2 linked regions of the Neodiprion lecontei genome follow. The protein of the gene in region 1 binds, or shares a complex with, the protein of each later gene. Links are inferred from orthologs where the notes say so. Each region holds a gene or a part of one and is shown in the gene's direction. Other genes may lie near its edges. The genes, in order: protein lin-54 homolog and transcriptional activator Myb.

Evidence for each region.
Region 2: protein lin-54 homolog (region 1) and transcriptional activator Myb share a complex: the UniProt entries of both Drosophila melanogaster proteins name them as parts of the DREAM complex. The link is inferred for Neodiprion lecontei from reciprocal best matches to the Drosophila melanogaster genes mip120 and Myb.

The regions. Positions count from the first base shown.
Region 1 is NC_060261.1:11,991,032-11,996,225, reverse strand, and holds the start of protein lin-54 homolog, read left to right. Parts: upstream 1-1,938; 5' UTR 1,939-2,014; intron 2,015-2,908; 5' UTR 2,909-2,936; coding exon 2,937-3,329; intron 3,330-3,474; coding exon 3,475-3,795; intron 3,796-3,972; coding exon 3,973-4,212; intron 4,213-4,895; coding exon 4,896-5,117; intron 5,118-5,194. Other genes in the region: COP9 signalosome complex subunit 4, read right to left, coding at 1-92, 229-308, 373-455. UniProt on the Drosophila melanogaster protein: Component of the DREAM complex, a multiprotein complex that can both act as a transcription activator or repressor depending on the context. In follicle cells, the complex plays a central role in the site-specific DNA replication at the chorion loci.
Region 2 is NC_060264.1:1,904,388-1,909,207, forward strand, and holds the start of transcriptional activator Myb, read left to right. Parts: upstream 1-1,535; 5' UTR 1,536-1,951; coding exon of another isoform or gene 1,952-1,971; intron 1,972-4,820. Other genes in the region: checkpoint protein HUS1, read right to left, coding at 222-605, 702-1,108, 1,206-1,257. UniProt on the Drosophila melanogaster protein: DNA-binding protein that specifically recognizes the sequence 5'-YAAC[GT]G-3'. Component of the DREAM complex, a multiprotein complex that can both act as a transcription activator or repressor depending on the context.

The DNA.
Region 1 (5,194 bases):
CTTTGAAACTTCATCAGGTAAGACCAGCAACCGGCTACTAACCTCTGTCAAAACTTGTCTTGATATAACCAAACTTACGTTCTCATTGACGACTGAAAATATAAATAATTCACCATTAGTTTCTTTGCAACATAATAAATGTTTTGAGTATGTAATGATTCCGTGCGAATAGATTTACAAAAAGGAATCAGCTGTAAATAATAGATACATTGATTAATGTGCACATACTTGCTTCGATAAAGAGTTTCAGCATGTCAACCAACTCCTCGCCCGCAGATTTTACCAGAAAATCCAATAGCGTTCGGTATCTGAAAAACCATGCGGAATTAATATTCAGACGACATGAGACAGCATGTGAGCAGAGAAACGTACCTTTCTGCCTGGTCCTTGTGAGAACCTCCGGCATGAGATAAAGTACTCAGCTGTTGCCTCACCGAGGCCATCATCACGACCATATTTTCTCCCAAAGTTTCGGTAATTCGGCTTTGCACCGGTTTCAATCTCTTTCGATCGGGTTCTTCAATTTTTGCAACGACCACGAACGTTTTGAAGATGCGACGAAGACGGTAGACGTCGTTTGCAATTCGACCAAATTGAAGAATGCTGTGAAACACGTAGAATGAGAAACAAGTTCATTCCTGCGTTCCGAAATTAGATCCAGTATCGACAGTTATTCTACATCTCTGTTCCTCTATCGAAATCATGGTAAGCGCTGCCTCTATTTTACGGAATTTTCAGCGAATGTGGTGTACATCCGGTACATTCTTTTGAAAAATAAAGTAACTGCGGGCAAAGCTGGGGGTCAACTTCGATGTACTTTCAATAATTTGAACAGTGCTTGCGTGCAATATGACATTTTGTATGTGTTATTCATAATTATATAATGGTAAATAAATTTTTATTATAAGAAAAAATGAAATCATGGTAATAATACTAATAATCAATAGCTCTGTTCGTTTTAGTTACACTTTTCTACACTTTTTACACTTATCCTGAATTTAGCCAATGGAAGGTGCCCTTTTCTAGGGAAAGTGTAAAAAGTGTAGAAAGTGTAATTAAAACGAACAGAGCTACTACCAGTCCCGCAACATGCTTTCCATGATGTCACTATAAACGACTACCTTTGCGGGGTGTGGGACGGAGGTCAGTAGCGGCTGAATAACGTGACCCTTCTTACAATTTTTGCGAGTTGCTCCCACGTTGCTCCCCCTGCTTCCCATCGTAGAGCTGAGGACTTCAACTCAAGTCCTCCCCGTGGTCCTCCCGTGTATAACTCTACTACGCCCGGTGATACGGAAATACAAATTACATTTTTATTTTTAAATCACGTAGTATATATTACAACTTACATTTGTAATCTTCTGTATATCTGTAAACGTTGTCCACGTATTTCAAATGCGACAAAAGATTTAACAGGTCCATTCTATACACAATTCTAAACAAAAACACTGCAACGAATTTTCATTTGACGCAGAAATAAATAAATGTCATAAATTCTACGAATTTACAATTTCGATTTCGTAGAAACCATGCCTCCAGTAGTATATAAGTGTTTGAGATTTAGATATTTGGAAATATATACTATAAATATAAGAGCAGCCCCTTAAACCTGTAATTTCTTGTACATACATCTATATTTTGGGAAATATATAATAATATAATATCAACTATACTACAATTGTGCCTATAGGTTTCTCTCTGTGCCTATCACGTTTGTTATTATAATTTTGTACACCATGCACTGGTTTAAAAACTAAAATTCCCTAGGAGTGAGACCGAGCGATCCATCGATCAAATAGTGCAACAGAGATAGGAGATTACTGTGCGTAGTGTCAGAAATGTATCCCGAGAAGCGATGCAGCAAGTGAACGGTTAGAATTTCTTCCACGTATAGCGCGACCATTAATGACTTTGGGTCTGTTCGTATATAGAATAGAAGCGCGTGGTGCATCTTGGGATAGTAATGGTGGGCGCGTGATTTTGAACAAATTCGGGATGCCAGAAAAGTACGCAGGTGAGTTCAGAACATTCGGCAGTACTAATTTAGAGCACGTTCAAATCGCATTTATTTTAAACTGTGCTTCAGTTCTGAAGTAATTAGAGTCATTGCTCAGTCAGAATGTGAACCATCGTATGCGCGCAGCACGAACTTTCTGCAAACAACTGAGTTCTAGGTTAACTTCAATTTTTCGCAATTTTGAGCCTCTTTCGTGTGAATATTTCGATCTCAGATGCGTTGAATAATTCTCTCGTATTATACTCACAGAATAAGTAGAATCTTCAACTATTCACCTAATTTTAATAGTCTTGAATCCACATCGAATACTGTTTGTGTTAAAATGGCGCGTTGATGTAACAAATGGCGCTAATGCGACCGTCTGTCGTCCAAGCTTCGAAACGTTTTGCATTGATATTCAAATTTGTTCGTTCCATTTTTCAAACTTCGAATCCCTGCCCATTATTGCTTCCCCGATTAGCGATCGATTCCACGCCTTCGCTTGTTTATCGCTCCCAAAACGCCTGAATCATTAACAACTATTTGAATTTTTGAATTTTTAAAATCACGCTTATCCTCAGTATTGAACTATAGTACAAACAACGTCAACAAACTATACTGCTACATAGTGACTACAATCATTTCGCTTTTCTCCTATCCCAATGAAATTTTTAGCTACCCAATTTGAGATAAAATTCCTTGGAAAAAGTTCCAACTATGACACTTTGCTGCTTATTTATCTTCAGCAAGCATATAAAGCACAGCTATTTTTGAAGCATGAATTGTGCAAGTAATGAGTCTACTTCTAATCGCCAGGTGATCATGTTTGTAAATCGATAATACCTTTCGGTGTGTAAACTCACCGCTTTACAAAACTGGCTTATAAATGTATCTCCAATTTGGCAATTTCAGCTAAGGAATAATAAATTTTGAGCAGAGTATGGCTGCAAGTAATAAAAGCCCAGGGGCAAGAGCCCTTGTTGAACCTCTGGCATTGGATTCACGAACGTTGAGCGATGGAGATTTCAGCGCTCTAAGTTTGTCGCACAGCTCAGAGCAGTACTCGAACAACGACTTTGAGGCATTGGCAAGCATTCAGGCTGAATTTGAATGCATGAACGCTGAAGAGGTAATGACAACTGACGACGAAACTATGCTTCTCGATCGAAGCATTGAGTCTACAACTACAGCGTCTGACATTGAGATGACCGATCTATCGGACAACGCTCAGCCTGAACAGATAACTTACTCATCAGCAGCTAATCAGAATAGTCAAAATATTGTATTCCAAACTAAACCAACCCTGCAAAGAGTGCCTGTGTCGGCAATACAGGTAAATTTCCATTTTATTATTTCTGTGACTTTACAGATTATTGAAATGTTTTTCTCTCTCTTCCTAGTCTTTGGTTTAGACCGTGAAGCCCATCATCCTTAAACTTGAACATTGCTATTTACACTTGGGTAAAACTTTTTTTCAGGTGAAGCCAACTGTGCCACAAGTGTCTCAAAGCCAGTCAATAATGATTGTGTCACCAGCAGGTGGCCAAGGCACAAGCCAAATACTGAAAATATCTCACCCATCGACAGCATCGCCTGGTCAGTTACAATCGCTGGCTCAGACTCTGATAACGGCCAAGTCTGCAGACGGCAACATAGTACAGCTGAGATCGGCACAAGGTTCAAGACCCATCGTGACAACTAGCCAATCTGGGACCATCACTCTGAGCAATGTACAGAACGTCAAACCTGTTCAGTCGGCGATAAAAAGACCAGCTCAGTCTGTACAACAAAACAGAAACGTGAGTCTTACTTCATGGATCGTGTGCTATCGAATACTGGTATTTATCACCTGAATGAGAAATTGAAATAGAAATATTTTACGCTTTGTTGGTGTAACAATTGTTTTTTATTGAATTCTTATCGATCTGCCTTCCATTTACTGCAAATTTCTAATGTAATTTGAACGGAATAAACAGGTATACACAAAAATGATTCTGACCGGTAATCAGAGCCAGACAGGTCAACAGGTTTTGCTTGCCAACACCCAACATGACAATCAGCAGCCGCAGACTATCAAGTTTATCACGAGTAGCGGAGCCAGTCCGAGCATCGCAAGCCCAACGAAAACTATAACTTTTGCACAAGCTCAGCAAATGGGACTTCTCTCCTCCGGGAAGATACAGCAGATACTGCCATCGTCGCCGCACAAACAGCAGGTATTGTTACTTAAAAGAAATATTTGTAAGACTATTGTAGCTCATACGCGTTCGATTTATTCTACGAATATTCAATAACTTCAACAGATGTTGTAAATGGGGTCTGGGAATTACTCATATTTCTTGAAAACTTCATTCTCTGTTGAAAATTGAGAAATTCTAAGCTTTCTGTTTTCTGACTATTTCTTAAAAAGTTGACTAGGAAGTAAAGATCGAACCAATTTCTAAAGAATACCTATATGATTCTGGAACCGAATTTAGTAACCAGCACCTCGCATAGTTCAAGATTTGGTGTTTCTATGTATTACTTACTGGCATTGCATAGAAGAAAATTATGATGAACATCTGAGAGAGATTTGAAATTTTCAGTTGAACAGTTGAATCACATGTCTGAAAAAAAATATTTTCGGTAAAACTAGGATTACAGAAAGTTATCAGAATTTTCAAAGGAATGGCATGGGTTTTCCACAGATGTACTGAAATTAATTTTCTGTTTCGGAAGTAAGATATTTCTGTAAAACTTCTAGAAATGTTTAGAAATTGTAAGAGATTTTTCAGAAAAACTGGGAAACTCGGAAATTTACATTCTAAGGGAATACGTGCACATTTTTAAACCTTTCTGCACATAATTTTTGCCGGAGGTAACTTGACTTAGTGTATTAAGTGTTTAAATGTTTGTACAGGGTATAATTGTGAATAAATTGGTCACATCAACTTCAACTCAACCTTCCAAAATGACAATTCTCCCAGCTACGACTGTGAAGCCCCCTGCCAAGATATTACCAGCCCCTACTTCAATGACTAGCCACGCCAAGTCATCAATAGTCTCCAACTCCCAAACCACAACGTTCTCCAGCACTGGAAAAAATATGCCACAGAATTCACAAAAAGTCATCATAAGACAGGTATTTTTAGTTTTACAGGAACCTGTAAAAGTATTTTATTTTTTCAGAAGTAACATGCATAAATATTATTCTGTGGA
Region 2 (4,820 bases), on another chromosome or scaffold:
TCAAAGAGTAAAAAATGCACTCCAACCAATCTCAGAAAGATTGATATTCATTATTACTGCAAGTCCATCGTTGGAGGACTGTCTTGGTCTACATATACATAATGAGATAATTGTTTGAATTATATGGCGATCAGGAATCTGAATCGATTAATTTCCGGTGTTGCACAAATACGTAATTTTTTAATATAAAAAAAGTTATAATTTATTATTCTAATTGATTTCTACAGAATTGAAATGGCTGGTATGAAATAGTGTATTTCTAAATGTCCATCAATGTTCATATGCATGTTAATCATTCTGTCAGCCACTACGTTGCAAATTACGCTTTCGGCTTTTATTATATCCCATGTTAGAAACATTCCAAATTTCCTAATATCTATGGTGGCCGAAACTTCTTCCTCTTCTTCATCCGTTACTCCTGAGTCTCGATCGTCTCCTCCAACCTTCAAGTCTTGAAAGTGCGTCGCTACGGTAGCAAAACTGGTTTCCACCTTCAGTATTAATTTCCCTGTTTTCTTAGCAGTTACGACAAGTTGTGGACTCATTTTTCCCATCTGATCGACAACATTTCGCAAGTGTTTCATGTCTGGCATCTCTATGGAAACCTGTAACAAAAAATAGAGATGCATTTGCAGGAGTAAACTTGATCGCGAGCTAAGTTGCCAGACGATATGATTCAGTATTAGGTCTCTTCAACATACATCGAACGACGGTATAATTGGAGCCTGATATTCCCCCCATTCTTTTCGAGGAATTACTTTAACAGGTACATCATGAACGCACTGTCTAAGCTCGTTGCTTATCGAAGGTAATTCAATATCGATAGTGAGACATGGCTGTTCTCTGTTGGTAAGTTTGATCTTGACGCTCTTGGCGGTCATTTTGAGGGAGCTTAGGCTCTTTGCGAGCATGGCAGGTGAGAATTCGAGGTATATCTCATCCTGTTCCTCGCACACACCTACCATGGTGTATTCGCTGAAGAATTTGTTTTGGTACAAAACAGCCCACGCTATCGGCGAATAGTCGTCACCGACGTGAAAGCACACCTCGTCTTTTGTAAGACGTATCACGCAAGCCTTTGCCAGGCGGGATACCGTGTTTGCCACATCTATCGATTGAAATATACAAAGTTGTTACATTTTTCGTACACATAAATTATAAACAGGTTATGGTTAGGCCAGTGAAACATCGATCTTTCCTCTTACTAGTGAAGTCGCGCATCGCTGCGGAGTCGATCATTCTGCATCTGAATTTCATCCCGACGAGTAATAAACAGAACGAATTCCCAGTGAACCGAACGTTTACCGCGAGGCTCTCGCAGACAAATCAGCGGCCTGTCAAACAAGTCAACATCGCACGTCCGTTGGCGCCGTTCGTTTGGTTCCGTTCCGGCGTTCCGCCACACCGGTACTTCGCTCAGAAGTTTCTAGATGTCACCAGTGTCACCGAAACAGTCGGTTCCCGCGCTGCCAGCATAATTTTCTGCAAACGAAAACTTACCCTGCGCAGCGGTGGTGATCGCCTAACGAATTCTTCGGGGACCGAGGCTGCCGCCGGTCGTCCTTTGTGTAAACAAACAGAACACCCGCCTCGCGCCGGAAACAAAATAAATCTATGATCGTGCGGTGTGTGCTTTAAACAATTCTCGGGGTGTTCGATTCGCGAAATCCGTGAGAGTGATCAGTCAGTGTGTGCAACGCTTAAAACTGTATTTCGACTAATTTGACAAATTAACCCGGACAGCGTGCAGAGAGGGTGAGAAATAGATGCGTCGGCCATTTTGCAGATATTGTTATCATCTCTGCACGCTCAAAGCTAATCGATAATGCTATAATAACTAACCAAAGAGTGAGAGAGAGAGAGAGAGATCGCTTACACTTCATATTCTCTCAAGTAATCCCTTACCGAGAGAATTGCAAAAGATCGAAGAACATGTCCTGCTCGGATTGAAATGCAGTTTTATCGAGCTAGGTGAGTCAGAAGACTAGAAATACATTATTCCAACTTATCGTACATACATACATAAATTTATTCGCTACCCAATTCAATGATCGTCTCTCGGTGTTTACTAAACATTCGCAAGGTGCTAACACGCTTCTTCGTCTTACATTTTTTCTTCTTCTTCATTTTTTTTTTTTTTTCTTCATCTATTTCGAACGCGAAAATCTCTCTGCGGCGATTCTCAATTGTTGACAGTTCTATTACATCTCGTGACGCTAGTCACTTTACTTTCGCATGTAAACAACACGCGTTGTCTGCCTTGCCAGCGTAATCAGCTGTGCTCAAAGACCGCGTAATTCGTCATTCCATAATTTAAATCCTTTGCGATTTGTTACTTATTCAACTCCCCTACGGATCCTTACACCGCAGCTTTGCACATATACATATATATTTGCGTAAACAAAATCTAAGCTGCTGCGCTTACAATGTACCTTGCAACATTATGCATTTTAGTAACGATCCGATCGTTGTTTTAGGCACATTTGAAACAACGGTTACAATGTTCGTAATACAACATTCGAATGTCGCGTGTGATTTAGCATGTTTTTTAAAAAAAAATTCTCAGCCTTCTTTCATGTTTTCGTTTTATTTTATCCGAAACAACGTCTTCGTTCGATCAATACCCCCTGCTTCCCAAAACTCGGTGAAAAATTCACCCCTCCGTCTTTGTAAGACATGTGGTTCAATGTTCCTTCGTTCCTCCTCCTTCTCTTCCGTCTTTTGTTTTTTTCGACTGCATACTTCGCCGTTTATCGCTCACCTAGAAAGAACGACGACAGGTGTCTGCCGGAACACGTGGCCCGCGGCAGTCGCACCGGGCCTTCCTGTTTCATTTTTTCACGTTACTTGTTTTATCGCCGTTTATCTTTCCCCCCCTTGTTTTATCAATGCCATAATACCCCACGCACAGCGACTCTATATCTCGATGCCTTCGTCGTCAGGCGCAACTGTAAAAAGCTACGAATCACGAGAGCGCGTTTAAATTTTCCCGCGCATTCCGAGGTGTGTCGATCGAAAGAAAAAGGATCTAGATATTCGTGTAATAGCGTATGAAATTTCTCAGGGTTTTCAGTAGATTTTTGAAAAAGGTGAAAACTTTTGGGAAAGTCGGTAGAAGGAAGGGATTATGGTATTTTTCCATCTCCGACAGAGCAGACCAGGTTATCCTAATTATCCTTGTTCTCAGGACGTTCGAATCGCAATGAAAGAACGACTCTGTATTCGTAATAAGAACGTTTCAACTCTGTGGGATATGTGTACCTACATACGTATACATTATTAAACGTATCGCATATGCGTACCTATACCGATGTTTAAACAAAGAGCGCTTGTTTTTCCATATGCGTGTGCACACGTCCACCATACATGTGATTATTTGCTCTCGGCGCAGCATGGCAACATCACCACACGCGTAAACGCGAGATGAAATGGGCCAGCAGCAGCCGTGGGAGGTACATGCATATAAATATATATATACATACACAGGAAATCGAGTATATCTTGCAGGAAGCGAGTAAAGGGTTCGTTCGGTGTCAGCTTTCCATTGAAAAGAATCGAATGAAAAAATAAAAACTGCACCAACGACGGAGTCAAATCAACGAATTGAAACCTTTGGGAAGAATACGATATGTAACAATACGAAGAACATTACATTGTCATCGGGATTATTATCATTGCACTCAAAATATAAACAGAATAGAATGAATTAATTTCCAAGTTTCATCAATCGTTAAATCGAGCAACGTCTTTTTTCTTTTCTTTTATTTCAACTGTATTTTACTTTATCTAGGGTATGCATAGGTTCAGATAATTGGGTTCGCGAGTTTATTAAAAGAATTATCAGGTAGCGAAATTGAGAGTGTTTTGAAACAGATGCTTTAATAGCAAAACGCGTGCTTACAGTTTAAACTCGGTAACAAGACTGTTTTTACAATAATGTTACTTGACCCAGCAACCTTATTCATTTCATAACACAAGAAAGCTCTCACACGTCTTTTATCCACAATGACGACTAGATCATTAGAAAAGTGGCTTTAAGACGGCAGCAAGCTGCTTCCCTCTCACGATGATACATCTTTCGCGTGATTCTATTTATCAAGAATAAAAATAAATTCTCCGTCGTTGATAATAGCGAGCGAGAAGAAAGAGAGGGAGAGAGAGAGAGCGATTAGGGAGAGAGGGGGTTTCGGTGTGACGCAATCGCGTCGTCCCGCATAGCAACTAACGTTGAGGACAATCAGTCAGTCAGTCAGTCAGACAGTCAGTCAGTCGGTGGTAAGTGAGTAGGGAAGGACGATCGTCGGGAACGAGGAACGAATGAAACCTCGAACGAAACCGAGGAGGGTTCAAATGTTACGTCGTCGTCTGGTCGCCGGCCCCCCCTTCCCTCCTCCCCCCCGTCTCCTCTTTTCCCTCCATTCCCATTCCCATTCCCCATCCTTTACTCTCCTTGCGCCCCATACGAAGAGCGGAGAGTCAGATGTAGATAATATAAAAAAATTGGAAGTCGAGTCCGTGGTAGTTGAACGTTTTTCTCATGCACGGCTCGTGTCTTCGTTTGTACGAATTATAAACAATGTCGAGAGGCGAACTCGACGAGGTTTCGAATCGAATCGCTGTTGCTTCAGGTTCCTGTCTGCAAAAAAAAAATGAAGAAAAATAAATAAAAATAAAAATTATAGTCGGAATTACGTATTACGATTGGCTGAAGTAATGTTGTATCAGGAATTTTGAAATTATTAAGGGACGGGTACGGCTTGGACCTTTTTTTTTTTGTTTTTTTTTCTTTTTTCTAAGAAAATGAGGACTTTATTGTTCAT